Linked DNA regions of Pelodiscus sinensis. The protein of the gene in region 1 purifies or fractionates together with the protein of each later gene. This does not show direct contact. Links are inferred from orthologs where the notes say so. Each region holds a gene or a part of one and is shown on either strand. Other genes may lie near its edges.

Evidence for each region. Proteins that work in one complex are often made in the same cells at the same time.
Region 2: the proteins of RPA2 (region 1) and ATRIP purify together in Homo sapiens (affinity purification with western blotting; 5 studies listed by BioGRID, with this or other methods). This does not show direct contact. The link is inferred for Pelodiscus sinensis from reciprocal best matches to the Homo sapiens genes RPA2 and ATRIP.

What each region holds. Positions count from the first base shown.
Region 1 is NC_134735.1:22,902,145-22,909,881, reverse strand, and holds the start of RPA2 (replication protein A 32 kDa subunit), read left to right. Parts: upstream 1-4,730; 5' UTR 4,731-4,747; coding exon 4,748-4,886; intron 4,887-6,061; coding exon 6,062-6,165; intron 6,166-7,737. Other genes in the region: SMPDL3B (acid sphingomyelinase-like phosphodiesterase 3b), read right to left, coding at 1,032-1,101. UniProt on the Homo sapiens protein: As part of the heterotrimeric replication protein A complex (RPA/RP-A), binds and stabilizes single-stranded DNA intermediates that form during DNA replication or upon DNA stress.
Region 2 is NC_134721.1:39,614,220-39,622,067, reverse strand, and holds the start of ATRIP (ATR-interacting protein), read right to left. Parts: upstream 3,002-7,848; 5' UTR 1,214-3,001; coding exon 757-1,213; intron 1-756. UniProt on the Homo sapiens protein: Required for checkpoint signaling after DNA damage. Required for ATR expression, possibly by stabilizing the protein.

The DNA.
Region 1 (7,737 bases):
ATAAGGCAGAGTGCTTCGTGGGCACGAGGAGCCGGCTCTTGCTGAGAAACCTGCGTGTCTGGGTTCCATGTTGATGCAAGTTGGGGGGATGTGCATTCTGTTCCTCACTGCAGCTGCAGTGCAGAGTGTGCAGCTGAGTGTGCTGTTGGTCAGCTTCTGCCTCCCCCAGGGGCTGCACACTTGGAAGGGCAGAATTTTAGTACCAGGAGCGCTGACTCCTTTGAAGGCCCAGCTGCCACACTAGCCACTAAGAAACACTCCCAGTGAGGCCACAGCAATTCAAAGCAGTCCTATAACCACACACAGCCCTACTTCTTGCCAGCCCTCCCCCCATCTTAACTCTCTTCCCTTGAGCTAGGATTGCACTTGGACTGCATGTTCCTCAGGGCAGAGTCCATGTCTTATCAGCTGGAGCCAACAAGTAGTGCCTAAATCCAACACAATTAAAGGAACAACCTACATTTATTATTATTTTTTTTAATCCCATTTTCCTGGGGTTTTAATACAATTCTCATCTATTGCCCAGTGAAAAAGAAACATGCAGACACACTCACCTTCTGACATAACCAGCTGCCCGAGCCACCAACCCCCACTTGCTGCACACAGGAGCCATTGCCCACTCATCTGTCACGGGGCTGTCTGGGGGTGCTAAACTAACATGTAAAGAAGGTGCCTTTTCTAAGTTTGCCATGATTTTGCAGTAACAGAGGCAGGGCTGAGAGCTCACTCATCCTGTGCCTCACCCAATGCTTTCTGCCTGCGCCTCAAGGCAGGGTTGGCCTCAACACAATCCCATCAGTGGGCTGACAAAAATCAACTTCATGAATGCCAGGAGAGCCAGTCATGTGCTGCCCCAGAAGCCCTGGGTCTGTTCACATCTTGCAGCTCGTTTAAAGAGACGTGAGCAAGCCAAGTTTAGTTTGGAAGTCAAGTAGAAACCAAGCTATGGCAAATCTTCCCTTGGAAGGAGGAACGCTTCCTCCAGACCTAGCAAAATCAGGCAGGCACAGAAAACTCATGAGGGCTGTTACCTTGGGTGGCGGCGGCAGCAGCAGCAATTCTGCAGTGCATTAGCAGCAGCAGGAACCTCAAGGCATCCATCTGAACTGGAATGGGGAGCTCTGACAGCTGCTGACTAATTGCCACTTTGCTGTTGAGAAGAGCCAATCCCAGGCAGCTGTCACCTCACCTGACTTCCTGGCAATGTGTGAAATGGGAGCACTTCTAGCTTGCCTTAAGAAAGATTCTCAGCCCATGGAGGGTCCCTTGCAGCCCAATCTGGGCACCGCTGCTGCTGGAGCCGGTGGCATTCTCCAGGGAGGCTGGTTTTGTTGGTTAAGCCAGCAAAAATAAGGTACAGGGCAGGAGTGAATTCCCTACTGGGGTCTGAATATTTAGATTACCTCAAATATCTACTGGCAGGTTTTAGGTGGCCTGTTGCTCACCACCCAGCCAGACTCAGGGTGCCTAGTGCCTCACTTCCCTCCCTCACCAGCACTTTGGTTGCTGTTCTCAGAATCTGTTCTACTTTCTTGGTACCTTTCCGGGGGCAAGTGCCTGGAACAGGATGCAGAGACCAGTCCCTTACACAAAGGACATCTCACCTCTTGCTCCATCACAGGACTCTTGTGCAGGTGCCAACTGAAATCACAGGGGCCTTCTCACTACCACATCCCATTACTAAGTCCTGCCTAACTCACTGCATTCCCAGCCCAGGTCTCACATCTAGCCCTACTTCCCAGCTTCTTCCCAGCTGCCTGAAATACTTCCCCTACCCCCGTACTGATGGGCTGCATTATCCCAAGTGGCGAGAAACGAATCAGCCAGCAACCCTGCCATGCCCACCACAGTGAGTAGTGGAGGGTCACCCATCAGCTGCCTCAGCAGCATCCCCAAAAGCCCCTGCGAATGGCGTAGAGAATGTCAGCGACCGGCGGCACCGCCGTGCTACACCCCTCCGAACGTGCCCTTACGTGTCCAAGCAGCTCCTGCCTCCACCCGCCCGCGGCGGCCGCGGGAAGGGGGGGGGCGGTAGGGCCGCGGGAAGTGGGGGGGGGGCGGTAGGGCCGCGGGAAGTGGGGGGGCGGTAGGGCCGCGGGAAGTGGGGGGGGGGCGGGGCGGTAGGGCCGCGGGAAGTGGGGGGGGGCGGTAAGGCCGCGGGAAGGGGGGGGGGGCGGTAAGGCCGCGGGAAGTGGGGGGGGGCGGTAGGGCCGCGGGAAGTGGGGGGGGGCGGTAGGGCCGCGGGAAGTGGGGGGGGGCGGTAGGGCCGCGGGAAGTGGGGGGGGCGGGGCGGTAAGGCCGCGGGAAGTGGGGGGGGCGCGGGGCGGTAAGGCCGCGGGAAGTGGGGGGGGGGCGGGGCGGTAAGGCCGCGGGAAGTGGGGGGGGGCGGGGCGGTAAGGCCGCGGGAAGTGGGGGGGGGCGGTAAGGCCGCGGGAAGTGGGGGGGGGCGGTAAGGCCGCGGGAAGTGGGGGGGGGCGGTAAGGCCGCGGGAAGGGGGGGGGCGGTAGGGCCGCGGGAAGGGGGGGGCGGTAGGGCCGCGGGAAGGGGGGGGGGCGGTAGGGCCGCGGGAAGGGGGGGGGCGGTAGGGCCGCGGGAAGGGGGGGGGCGGTAAGGCCGCGGGAAGTGGGGGGGGGCGGTAAGGCCGCGGGAAGTGGGGGGGGGCGGTAAGGCCGCGGGAAGTGGGGGGGGGCGGTAAGGCCGCGGGAAGTGGGGGGGGGCGGTAAGGCCGCGGGAAGTGGGGGGGGGCGGTAAGGCCGCGGGAAGGGGGGGGGCGGTAGGGCCGCGGGAAGGGGGGGGGCGGTAGGGCCGCGGGAAGGGGGGGGGGCGGTAGGGCCGCGGGAAGGGGGGGGGGCGGTAGGGCCGCGGGAAGGGGGGGGGCGGTAGGGCCGCGGGAAGGGGGGGGGCGGTAGGGCCGCGGGAAGGGGGGGGGGCGGTAGGGCCGCGGGAAGGGGGGGGGGCGGTAGGGCCGCGGGAAGGGGGGGGGGCGGTAGGGCCGCGGGAAGGGGGGGGGGCGGTAAGGCCGCGGGAAGGGGGGGGGGCGGTAAGGCCGCGGGAAGGGGGGGGGGCGGTAAGGCCGCGGGAAGGGGGGGGGCGGTAAGGCCGCGGGAAGGGGGGGGGGCGGTAAGGCCGCGGGAAGGGGGGGGGCGGTAAGGCCGCGGGAAGGGGGGGGGGGCGGTAAGGCCGCGGGAAGGGGGGGGGGCGGTAAGGCCGCGGGAAGGGGGGGGGGCGGTAAGGCCGCGGGAAGGGGGGGGGCGGTAAGGCCGCGGGAAGGGGGGGGGCGGTAAGGCTGCGGGAAGGGGGGGGCGGTAAGGCCGCGGGAAGGGGGGGGGCGGTAAGGCCGCGGGAAGGGGGGGGGCGGTAAGGCCGCGGGAAGGGGGGGGGCGGTAAGGCCGCGGGAAGGGGGGGGCGGTAGGGCCGCGGGAAGGGGGGGGCGGTAGGGCCGCGGGAAGGGGGGGGGCGGTAGGGCCGCGGGAAGGGGGGGGGGCGGTAGGGCCGCGGGAAGGGGGGGGCCGTAGGGCCGGGGGCGGTAAGGCCGCGGGAAGGGGGGGGGGCGGTAGGGCCGCGGGAAGGGGGGGGGGCGGTAGGGCCGGGGGCGGTAAGGCCGCGGGAAGGGGGGGGGGCGGTAGGGCCGCGGGAAGGGGGGGGGCGGTAAGGCCGCGGGAAGGGGGGGGGGCGGTAAGGCCGCGGGAAGGGGGGGGGGCGGTAAGGCCGCGGGAAGGGGGGGGGGGTAAGGCCGCGGGAAGGGGGGGGGGCGGTAAGGCCGCGGGAAGGGGGGGGGGCGGTAAGGCCGCGGGAAGGGGGGGGGGCGGTAAGGCCGCGGGAAGGGGGGAGGCGGTAAGGCCGCGGGAAGGGGGGGGGGCGGTAAGGCCGCGGGAAGGGGGGGGGGCGGTAAGGCCGCGGGAAGGGGGGGGGGGCGGTAAGGCCGCGGGAAGGGGGGGGGGCGGTAAGGCCGCGGGAAGGGGGGGGGGGCGGTAAGGCCGCGGGAAGGGGGGGGGCGGTAAGGCCGCGGGAAGGGGGGGGGGCGGTAAGGCCGCGGGAAGGGGGGGGGCGGTAGGGCCGCGGGAAGGGGGGGGCGGTAGGGCCGCGGGAAGGGGGGGGCGGTAGGGCCGCGGGAAGGGGGGGGCGGTAGGGCCGCGGGAAGGGGGGGGCGGTAGGGCCGCGGGAAGGGGGGGGGCGGTAGGGCCGCGGGAAGGGGGGGGGCGGTAGGGCCGGGGGCGGTAAGGCCGCGGGAAGGGGGGGGGGCGGTAAGGCCGCGGGAAGTGGGGGGGGGCGGTAAGGCCGCGGGAAGTGGGGGGGGGCGGTAAGGCCGCGTCTGCAGCCACGTTCCTCGCAAACCGCGACTCCCCTTTTGGCGCGCGCCGCTTCCCCTGCTCCGGGAGCGAGACCCGGGCGTGGCCTGGAGCGCCCCTCGGTCTCCCGCACCCCGGAGACTGGCCGCGCCCGGGACAAACGGCTCTTGGGCCTGGGCGGCCGGAGCCTCCCACGTTCACTCGCGGCGGCGCGTCGGGGGGCCGGGCCCCGATCCCTGGGGGCTGGCGCCGGGGGACCCAGGCGAGCGGGACGCGGGGCCGAGCCCGGCTCAGTAGCTGCCCCAGCCCCGCGCACGAGGCGTTAACCCAGGAGCCTAACGACGGCACGTGCCGCAGCGCTGGGAGGAGCGTGTCTGACTGACCTCAGGGGGCGGCGCCAATAGCAAAGATGGCGTCGGCGGCGCTTCCGTCCGCGGGTCGGAGGCCACCGGAAGGAGATGGTGGCGCCGCCCCTCGCCATGCGGGAGCCGATTGGCTGGAGCGCCGCGGGCTCGCCGATTGGGCGGTTATTTGAGGCGCGACGGAGCCGAGCGTCTGTTGGAGCGTCCGCAGCCGCCGCCATGTGGAGCGGTCACGGTAGGGGGGCAGGGTGTTGGGGGAGGGGCTGGGGGGGGGCTGGCAGGGTGTTGGGGGAGGGGCTGGGGCGATGGGGGGGCTGGCAGGGTGTTGGGGGAGGGGCTGGGGGGGCTGGCAGGGTGTTGGGGGAGGGGCTGGGGGGGCTGGCAGGGTGTTGGGGGGGGCTGGGGCGATGGGGGGGATGGCAGGGTGTTGGGGGAGGGGCTGGGGGGGATGGCAGGGTGTTGGGGGAGGGGCTGGGGCGATGGGGGGGATGGCAGGGTGTTGGGGGAGGGGCTGGGGGGATGGCAGGGTGTTGGGGGAGGGGCTGGGGGGATGGCAGGGTGTTGGGGGAGGGGCTGGGGGGAGGTGGCAGGGTGTTGGGGGAGGGGCTGGGGGGGCTGGCAGGGTGTTGGGGGAGGGGCTGGGGGGGCTGGCAGGGTGTTGGGGGAGGGGCTGGGGCGATGGGGGGGATGGCAGGGTGTTGGGGGAGGGGCTGGGGGGGATGGCAGGGTGTTGGGGGAGGGGCTGGGGCGATGGGGGGGATGGCAGGGTGTTGGGGGAGGGGCTGGGGCGATGGCAGGGTGTTGGGGGAGGGGCTGGGGGGATGGCAGGGTGTTGGGGGAGGGGCTGGGGGGATGGCAGGGTGTTGGGGGAGGGGCTGGGGGGGTGGCAGGGTGTTGGGGGAGGGGCTGGGGCGATGGGGGGGGTGGCAGGGTGTTGGGGGAGGGGCTGGGGCGATGAGGCATGTGTCTCACCTTGTGAGACGCTATAGGTTGCTGAGGCCAGGTCGCTGACCCTATGGCATTGCCCCTTTCTGTGACCTGGCGTCCCCATGAGCTTAGCGTTCTGGTGCCTTCTTTGAACTTTGGTGGGGTTTGGACTTGAGTGCAGGTTAAAAATGCAGGCTGCTGGGGAGTAAGACTTACAGGTGGGGAGAATGTAAGTTTGGCTGTTTGAATTAAGTGAATATGTGAGAGTCTCAGCTTTCCCTCTACTGGATACGGCTGCTGGAAAACACCTGAGTGACCCAAAGAGCTCAGTAATATAATGTACATTTTGGGTGGTATTTACTATACTTTATTTTGTCTAATTGTAAGCTAATTGCACGACTATTTGGTATAACTTGTGATTTTTGAACACTTGGGATTGGCAACAATGTATTAGTAACTGTGATTCTTTCCCCCCTACCCTAGGTGGCTTTGACGGTGGCTATGGTGGGTCTTCAATTAGTGGTGGATACACACAGTCCCCAGGGGGGTTTGGCTCTCCAGCAGCCACCCAGGGAGAAAAGAAACAGGTATGTAGTGGAAGGGTTTTAAAGAATGGGAGAACTGGGTGCCTGGTCACACTAGGGAGGTTCCCATGAGAGTTTTGATCTTTATGTTGCTGTCATGAGAAGGATTATCTATACCTCTCCCAGCAGAGAACAAATTGTACGGTATTAGGGATAAGAGAGAAGCTTCAATATAACATTGAATTGGGAAGCAGTGATGGGAGGAGTACAGTGGCCTAGGAGCTAGGTTTTGGCCTTGGTCCTTCCCTCAATGTGTTTTATGACCTTTGGCAAGTAACTTATACTGTATTTTGACTTCCCTTCTCAGAATAGATATTTATTCACAGAATGTTGTGTCTTAATTAAATGTTGCAGTTGTAATTCATTTTATGGCTACTTAACCTGGTTACACCAAACATGGCTGAGCTCTGCATTTTTTTCCTCCGCATCAGAAGAATGTGTAAAATATTCCTTTGTCTGTCATGTTGCCTACTGTGTTTGTATCAGGGAAAATTGGGCAAACTATCCTAAATGTTCTCAGCAGGGGAATAATGGAGCATGAAGGACATGCACCTGGACGGATAGTAAGAGTGCATAGGGTAAGCTGTAAGGAAGGTGGAAGACAGGCCATCCCTGTGACACAAACTTATTCAGGCGTTTCCTTCTACATAGTGAAAAACAAAGCCAACATACCTTGTGGAGGAAAACGGCTGTGTGCCAGCCTAGGCCACTGGAAAGCATGACTGACTGTTGTGATTCTAAAGAGTACCAGTTGTGAGTGAACTCAAACCATGGTTAGAGCTGTCTCTGGGACTAACTGGTCACAGATTCAGTTACAATAATGCTGACACAGCCTCAGTGTTTGTAAATCTCTTTGAACATCTCAATCACAACATGAATCAGTAATGTGATATTGTTTCAAAAAAAAAAAAAAAAGCAAATACAATTTTAGGCTGCATTAACAGATGCATAGGAGGCAAGTCACAGGTAGTGATAGTACTGCTCTGTTTGATGCTGATTGAGCCTCAGCTGGAGTACTGTGCCCAGTTTTGGTCACCAATGTATAGAAAGGCTGCAGAAAAAAGATGATCAAAGGGATGGAATGCAAGGCTGTAGGAACTGGGTATGTTTAGTTTGGGGGGAAAAAAGAGACTGAGGGGGAACATGATACCAGACTTCAAATATTTGAAAGACTGCCATAAAAAGATGGAAAACAGTTTTCTCTTGCCACAAAAGTCAGGACAAAGGGTAGTGGGCCCAAGCTGCAGTGGAGCAGATTCAGATTAAATCACAGGAAAAACTTGGGATAGGGGTTTTCCTCTGTCGCCCCTGCTTCCTCCCAGCCCAGGAGCCGTAGCCTGGGCAGCAATCACCCTCTAGCACAGTGGTTCTCAAACTTTTTGGTCCGTGGACCACCTGGCTCAAGGCAAACCTTTCCACCGACCACCAGTTGTTAATGGAAACTCTCTGTTAACTACATCCGAGCCATTTTGCTAGTGCTGCAGCCAGGGAAAATGGTTTAATTTAAATTATTAAACAAATTAAGCATTTTAACTTTCTCATGTTAGTTTATCAAACTTTATTTTAAATAAAGTA
Region 2 (7,848 bases), on another chromosome or scaffold:
TATTATGAACAGGTCACCTTCCCTTCTCTCCTAAGGGGAAGTTTAAAAGTCACTTATAAGTATGACAGATATTACACAACCACATATGTAGCCTAGTAGTTAGAATTGATGTCTGGGAAGCCAGATCTCCTGCTTTCTAATTCCATTTCTGCCCACAGCTTGTCCTCAAGCAAGCTACTTCACTTCATTGTGCCTCAGTTTAATCATCTGCATGCGATTCAAAGGCATTGTGACACTAAGTTAAAGCTTGCTAATTAGTTTACATTCTTAAGATAAGGCACCACACACGTAAAAAAAGATAGATTACTGTCATTTCAAAGTATGATCTTTCCAAATGATCACTTTCATATACTTGGAGCACAACTTCTGGCTACTTCTTACTTAATGCTATTTTATGACACGTAGTTATACTATATGGCAAATTCTATAACTTGTTCTTTAAGACATGTTGTCAGATGTACATACCAACTCTGAATGTTGATGGTTAAGTTATCCAGAAGCTAAGATTTGCCTGATAATTAAAACATTTTTTCAAATAATCCTAGTAATTCAAGATAGCGTCAAGAACCTAAGTGAACATTTCAGCAACAATGAAATTTACTTTTGGGTTGAGCTTAGATAATCTAGTCAAAAAAGTTAATTATTTTATACATTTTTCTAGGAAGTTTAGCATTTCAAACCTCAGATCTGGAGCATAAGGAGGCACTAAGCCATTCAAATCCCCAGCTATACTCCCCTATTCCAGAATACACATACCGAACTGGTCTTTCCTTCTTTTTTCAGCACTAGAGGGAACACTCCATAGTTCAATATTCACAGACTTTTGATTAGCGTTACTCGGAGATAACAACGGTCTGGAATTCTGCTCGGGTTTCTGGATGCTATTTGAATCTAGATCTTGTGATAAAGCCTGTGAGGCAATTATGTCTATTTCTTCCAAGTCATCAGCTGTAAAGTCATCATTGTCTCCAAAATAATGTTCTGTTTGTTTGGACTTGGACTCAAAACCTTTGTAACGCTTGTTTGGTGGAAAGCCATCTCCATGGTTCCCAATACATCCTCGACTAGTGGATTCTCGATAAACAGAAGATGAAGCCATACTCTGTGCCTGGTCCACACCATATAATATGGAGCTATTTCTCTTCTTATTCGCAAATAATGAGTTTATCGACATTGTGCAGAAAAATTTAACCTGTGAAACAAAATAAAGCATTTTAATCCTCAAAGAATCTTTTTCCAAATCAAATATATTCTACAAAATACAAACAATTGAACCTCTGAAGAAACATGTGCTAGCACACAATGATCAGGGTTCAAGAGTCTCTAATGCACTCCCTCACTAACTGACTGGAAAAGAGGACATGTGAACTCCAGAGCTTCCTATCCATTTCAAACGGGCTTTGGATCATTTAAATCAAAGCTTCGTGGTAACAGAAAAGAATGAAAGAAACAACTGTAGGTTTTTTTACAGCCATGAGAAAAATGTCATTCTACAGAATATTATTTAAGACCATAGAAATATAACAACAGGACTCCAAGAGGAGCAGATCTATGAATTGAAAGGGCAAAACGCTAGTGATGTTAGATAGCGTGTAACTGAATAGTCATGTTAAAACATCAAGTTTCAGCAGTTAAACAACTATTCAATAGTCTCCAGGGGTGGGACCAGCAGCCAGTGCGCTCGCGGCAGCCTACCCTGTCCTACTGCCACATACAGGCAGCAGTGGGGTGGGGGGGGGAAGGGCACAGGCAGCTCCGTGGAGCAGTGCTCAGGGGAAGCTGGCTCCTGCCTGCCCCAGAATGCCTGCAGTTGACAGGATTAACCAATAAGCCCAGGCTTATCAGTTAAATGTATAGTCGTTTACACGGTGACATCCCTACAAAATACCTTTTCAAAAACTGTTCTAGAGGAGGACAAAAAAGGAGATGTGCCCGTGTTCTTTCCATCCCTACATAAGAATACATGCCTTGAAATTATGTATTTCATGTTTTCCAAGAGAAGCACACATTATGATCTCAGATTCTAGGATCTCCTTGTTTAAGTCACACAAACCTAAAACTGTTAGAGTACACTTAAAAAGGGGAAAACATTTTTTGAAGTTGTATTAGAGTCTAGAGGACTGGTCACCAACCAGTAGATCGGGATCTACTGGTAGATCTTGGAGCCTGACAGGTGATCTTTACTGGTTTAGCCAAGAAGCTATCAGATGCTGGCACTTCAGCTGCCCCTCCTCCCACTGCCACGCACCTCTTGCCCTTGTTTCTCCCCCACCCCTTGCTGAGCAGGGCAGAGAAGGGGCACTGATGTCAGGGTGCCCCCACTCCTACCCTGTATTCTAACTCCACAGAATGGAGGGGGGGGGGGCACAACAGGACTTGGGATGGGGTTTGCTGGCTGCTTTTGAGAGTGGTGCAGGGCCAGGGCAGGGGTGAACCTGCCTTAGCCTCACTGCATCACTTGTGAGTGTCCAACTGGAGCTTGCATCCTGAACCCGTCCCAGTCATAGACTCCCTCTTGCACGTCAAGCCCCTGCTCTAGCCCCAAGCCCTCCTAGACCCAAACTCCCTTACAGAGTCTGTACCCAGAACCACCTGCTGCACCCTCATCTCTGTGCCCCAGGCTCAGCTCAGAGCAACTTCAAATCACTTAACATTTCAAATCTCTCAAGCCAAGATCAGAGCCTGAACCCCAACCCTCTGCCTGTACCTGTTGAAAAGGAGGAAGGATGGAGGGAGGGAAGATGAAGTGGGCAGAGCCCTGGAGAAGGAGGCAGGGCAAGGGTATTTGGGTTTGAGATAGATCCTGGATTACACTTAAATTCAAAAAAGTAATCTTGTGCTTAAAAAGGCTGGAGATCACTGGTCTACAGCACTGTCAAAATTGCTAACATTTATAACAGCAAAAATTCTGATAACATCATTACAATTTTATTTTATTCCCTCTCGGTTAGAAAAGCAACAATGTGTTTATTACTCTGATCTTACAGATTACAAGACACCACAGATGAATTCAAAGGGGGCAACTGTCAAGAAAGTAAGCAAGTACCCATACACCAGTGGCCACCAACTAGTTGAGTGCCATCAGCTTGTTGATCCTGGGGTCTCCCGGTTGATCACAATCGCTGGTAGTGGGACAGGGCAGCGGCAGCTAAGGCAGACCCATGCGGCAGATCCATTCCAGGAAGGAGCCAGCACCAGCCCCTGAACGGAGGGGGGAGGAGGAGAAAAGGGGAGGTGTGAGGGAGCAGGCGGCTCGCGAGGTTAAAGTGTTCCAGGGGGGTGGCCGCCTTAGTCCGGCTGCGGGGCAGGGAGGCGCACGGCTCCGCTCAGCTGGGCTACACAAAGCCCCGCGCGCAGGTAAAGCGCCACGCGGGGAGAAATCCACAAGCCACCGGTCAGCACACACGCGCCGCTTCTACTCGCGCCCAGGGCGCGGAGCAAACCCGGCCTCCGGCCGCTGCATGACCCGGCGGAGCCGCTCCGACGCGAGGCGCGCCACAGAGACACAGGCCGGCCCGACGCCCCCACAGGCCCGGGGCGCTGGACTCAAGGCCCCCCACTAGGGCGCGCCTACAGCGGCTCCCCCCGGCACGGCGGGACGCGGGCCCGGCGAGAGGAGCTTTGCTCGGTGCCCGACGTGCCTGCGCGCTCGGTTCCGGCCCGCACCGACCTCGGGCGGCCCCGACCGGGGCAGCGCAGCGCCCCGCGGGGAGGCAGGAGGATCCGTTACCCCGCGCGCCACCTCTGCCTTCTCAGGCCCTCCCGCCAGCGCCGCCCAATCAGAGCATCAGTATCCAGCCGGCGTCACTCGCTACGGCAGCCCGGAAGGATCAGCTAGACAGGGGCGGGGAGGGGCTGGATGTAAGAGTCTCAGCGATTGGCCAGCTGTGTAAGCTTGTCAGTTATTGGCCACGCGCTCGCGATAAGGCCTAGAACCGCAGGCTTCCTTTGCTACCGGACTCGGGGCCAGCTGCGGAGTCTGGAGCCCGCTGGGTGACGGGGCTGGAGCCAGCAGGCGGCACAAAGCCCCCCGCAGCGTGGCCTCAAAGCCTTCCCAAATTATGTAATGGCGTGTGACATCACGGCCTAGGCAAGGAACAGCAAGGTCCTGGAGGCCACATTTAAGCTGCTTGGAAAGAGACTGAAACCCAGGACCTCAATGGCGGGCTGTGTCTACACGGCACGATCTCGCGCAAAAACTTGCTGCCTGTCTACACTGGGTGCAAGTTCTTGCGCAAGTAAACTGGCGTTTTAATGTGTGAAATCAGGGCTTCCTGCGCCAGAGCTCTGACGCACCCGCTCAGGAATAAGACCTTTTGTGCAGCTGTTTTTGCGGAAAAGCGTCCTTGCCAATCTAGACGCTCTTGCGGAAAAGCATTTGCGGAAAATCATGCCAGTCTAGACGTAGCAAAAGCATTTTTGCAGAAGAACTCTTTCACGAAAGAGTTTTTGTGTGAGAACGCACCAGTGTAGACATAGCCATAGGGTTTTCTGAAATGCTCCCAGTTCCACCATGTAACCAGTGAGACTTGCAGAAAGTGTCTATGGAGGTTAGTCACCAGTGAGCTGGAGACAAGCCTTTGCCCTAGGGCTCTCTTGTGCAAGTTTGCACCAGAATAGCCAATTTCTGCTTCATTCCTCTTTGCTCCCACTGAGCCAGTTCTCAAAGCCTTTTGTTACTTATATGAAGAGCTAATGTTCAGACCAGCCCTTCCACTCCCAAACAAAAGTGTATCCCCACTCCTGTGTGTGCCATATTTAGATTAGCCTAAATAATTTGCTGTACCCACAGCTGCTCAGACTAACCCTGACCCTACTAGTCGTGGCATTGGATGCCCCCAGAAACACACTAAAACCTAGCCCCAATGCACTCCCAGCCTCTCTGCCCCCCGCGGCAAGCAGGGGAGACCCGGGATTGGGAGTCCCGTTCATGCAGCAGTGCAGCAGGCACACGCCGCATGGCGGAGTGACTCTGGGTGCTGGGGTATTTTAGCACCTCCATAGGTTGGCGCCCCAGGCACCTGCCCGGCTAGCTTGCCCCTTAATCCGGCCCTGGTCATCGGCTGCACAGTGAGTCCCTGTGGGCCAAATGTTGTGCAGGCCTGATGTAGAGCCTTGAAAATGTGAGGATCAGGCGTTTAGGGTATGTCTTACATCAATGGTTGCAAATATACAAATAAAATGTTACTGGTCCACCAAAAGCCCCGGCCTACAAAGTCCCCCAGTGCCAGCCCTGACCCCTAGAGCCCCCCAGCCCTCTACTACTCCCCAGCACCAGCTACTGACCCCAGCACCCAATGCTCCCCAGTGCCAGTCAGCCTCCTGCTCTCAGAGCCCCCCAGTGCCAGCCCCCACCCATTAGAGCACCCCCACCAGGCCCCCAGTGCCAGCCTCCTGTTTCCAGAGCCCCACTGAAACCAACTCCCCCAGAGCTTCCCCCAGTTCCCAATATTAGCCCTATTCCCAGAACCCCCCAGTGCCAGCCTTGCCCCCAAAGCCCCGCTACTACTAGCCCCTCCCCCAGGGCTCCTCAGTGCCAGTTCCCCACCTCTTAGAGGCACCCACCCTCAGAGCTCCCCAGCACTAGACCCACCCCCAGAGCCTCCAGTGCCTACCCTGCCCCCCTACCTAGCCCTGCAGTGCCTCCCAGCTGACAGCTGAGCACTGCTGCCTCCGTTACAGCTACTCTAAGGTTGCGGAGTTGAGCTCCGCACAGCTCTCCTGCAGTGAACGACTCTTCTGCGTCCGAAAAGAGAACCCACCCCTGCCAGGCCTGGCAACAGCCCATCCCCCAACACATGCACAGGATTGGCTGTGTCTGTGGCACAAGTGACAGGGGCGGTTGCATGTTACTGGTGGTTTGAGAGTTCCTCCCCAGGCTGTTAACAGTCAGGGCCTACAGACACAAGGTAACACAGCCCATGCGCATCTCTGTCTCATGGCACCCACCTGGCAACTGGGCACTACTAGCCTCCTGACACCTGCTGGTTTGTCAGGGAGCCCAGCTCCCCACGCACAACTCCAACCGGCGCTGGCAGCTGCAGCATCCTGGGTCATTGGGAAGTGGGTATGGTGGTATGTAGGGCAGGCTGGAGCTAGGGATGCCAGGTGTCTGGTTTTGACCTGGACAGTCCAGTATTTGAGGGTTCTGTCCGGGAAACAAATTAAGAAAATACCAGACATAAATGTCTGGTATTTTCTAATTAAGTTAGTTTTATTATTATGAGTATCAATATGTAGTTGCGATGAGGAGTCCTGTGGCACCTTATAGACTAACTGAAGTGTAGGAGCATAAGCTTTCGTGGGCAAAGACCCACTTCGTCAGATGCATGTAGAAATTTCCACTACATGCATCTGACGAAGTGGGTCTTTGCCCACGAAAGCTTATGCTCCTACACTTCAGTTAGTCTATAAGGTGCCACAGGACTCCTCATCGCTTTTGCAGATTCAGACTAACACGGCTACCCCTCTGAATATGTAGTTGCATACTGCCTGGCTAGTAAACACGCTCACACTGTGTGAGGGTGTCTACCAGCCAGGCAATACGCAACTACATGCGCAGGAGGGGAGTGGTCGGAACTGAGGCAGGATGGAATCCCAGGGGCCGGACTCACTAGTGCTTCGCCGAGACCGTGGGAAGGACGGGCAGCGCCCGGGTCAGTCGATTCTCCGCCAGCCAGTTCTCTCCCCCCGCTTCCCCTCCCGGCCAGCCCTGCTCCCCACTGGCCGGTTCTCCCCCGGCCAGCCTCACTCTTTCCAACCCCCTCCTGGCCAGCCCTGCTTCCCGCCAGCCAGTTCCCCTCTCCCCGGACCTCCTCCCGGCCAGCCCCGTTCCCCTCCTGGCCGGTCCCCCCCACCCCATCTGAGATCAGTGTGTCCACTATTTTTTTTAAGCCATCTGGTAACCCTAGCTGGAGCTGGCAGGGGAGACCCCATGGGGGAAGCCAAGCTCTGCTGGACGAGGGACAGAAATCAAGGACACCCAGTGCGGCTTCCTGGGGGCTCTAACCTGATTCTCCTTGGTAATATTGATAAAGGCTGGGATGCTCATGGCTACGAAGGCTCCGCTCCCTGGTCCCAAACGCGCCACCTGCAACGGAAAAGACACAAGGCAGCCACCAACTATGCAGCCCTGCCGGCCTTGTCTGGAACCAGGGTCATGGTGAGGCTGCCCCAGTAGGGACAGCCTCACCACGGGCTGGCTTCAGCTGAGGCATACGGGGCAGCCCCCAGCACCACTCACCTTGGGAAGAACAGCAGCATGAGTAACTCTGAGAGCTCTCTGTGCTGAGGAGTGTCAAAGCGGTGCAACGATCTATCCCTCTACTTGTGTGCTCCTAGTGCAGAGCAGAACAGTAGTCCAATGATTTGCTCTTTGTTTGTTCCCCAAACCGAGCAGTGTGCTCAGCAGCCAGACATTTCCTTGAGCTTTGAAAATGGACAGGTGCATGCATGCAAGGCAGCAGAGATCAAAACACTGAGCAGAGCTATCAGGGCAGGCATTGTGGGATACTGGCGAAAGCCAGTTCTGACAACAAAAGAAACAGCAGTATCTAGACTGGCTCTTTGTTGACAATAAAGGGAGGGAAAAAGAAAAAAGTCTCTTATAGGGAAGTGTGATGGGGTGCCGGGCTCCACTGCGGAGAAGCACATGGCACCCCGCACTCCCCTGCATGTCATGGCAGCAGGAGGAGACGGGCCCCAGGGACGCCGCTGGGTACAGGCTGCGTCTCGGCACGCATGCCCAGAATGTACCAGGGCAGCCAGGGGCCAAGACGTCACTGGCGGGGGTTTCCCCGCGGCTGATGTCATCAACCCACGCCCCAGGGAGGGGGTCAGGAGGAGCAG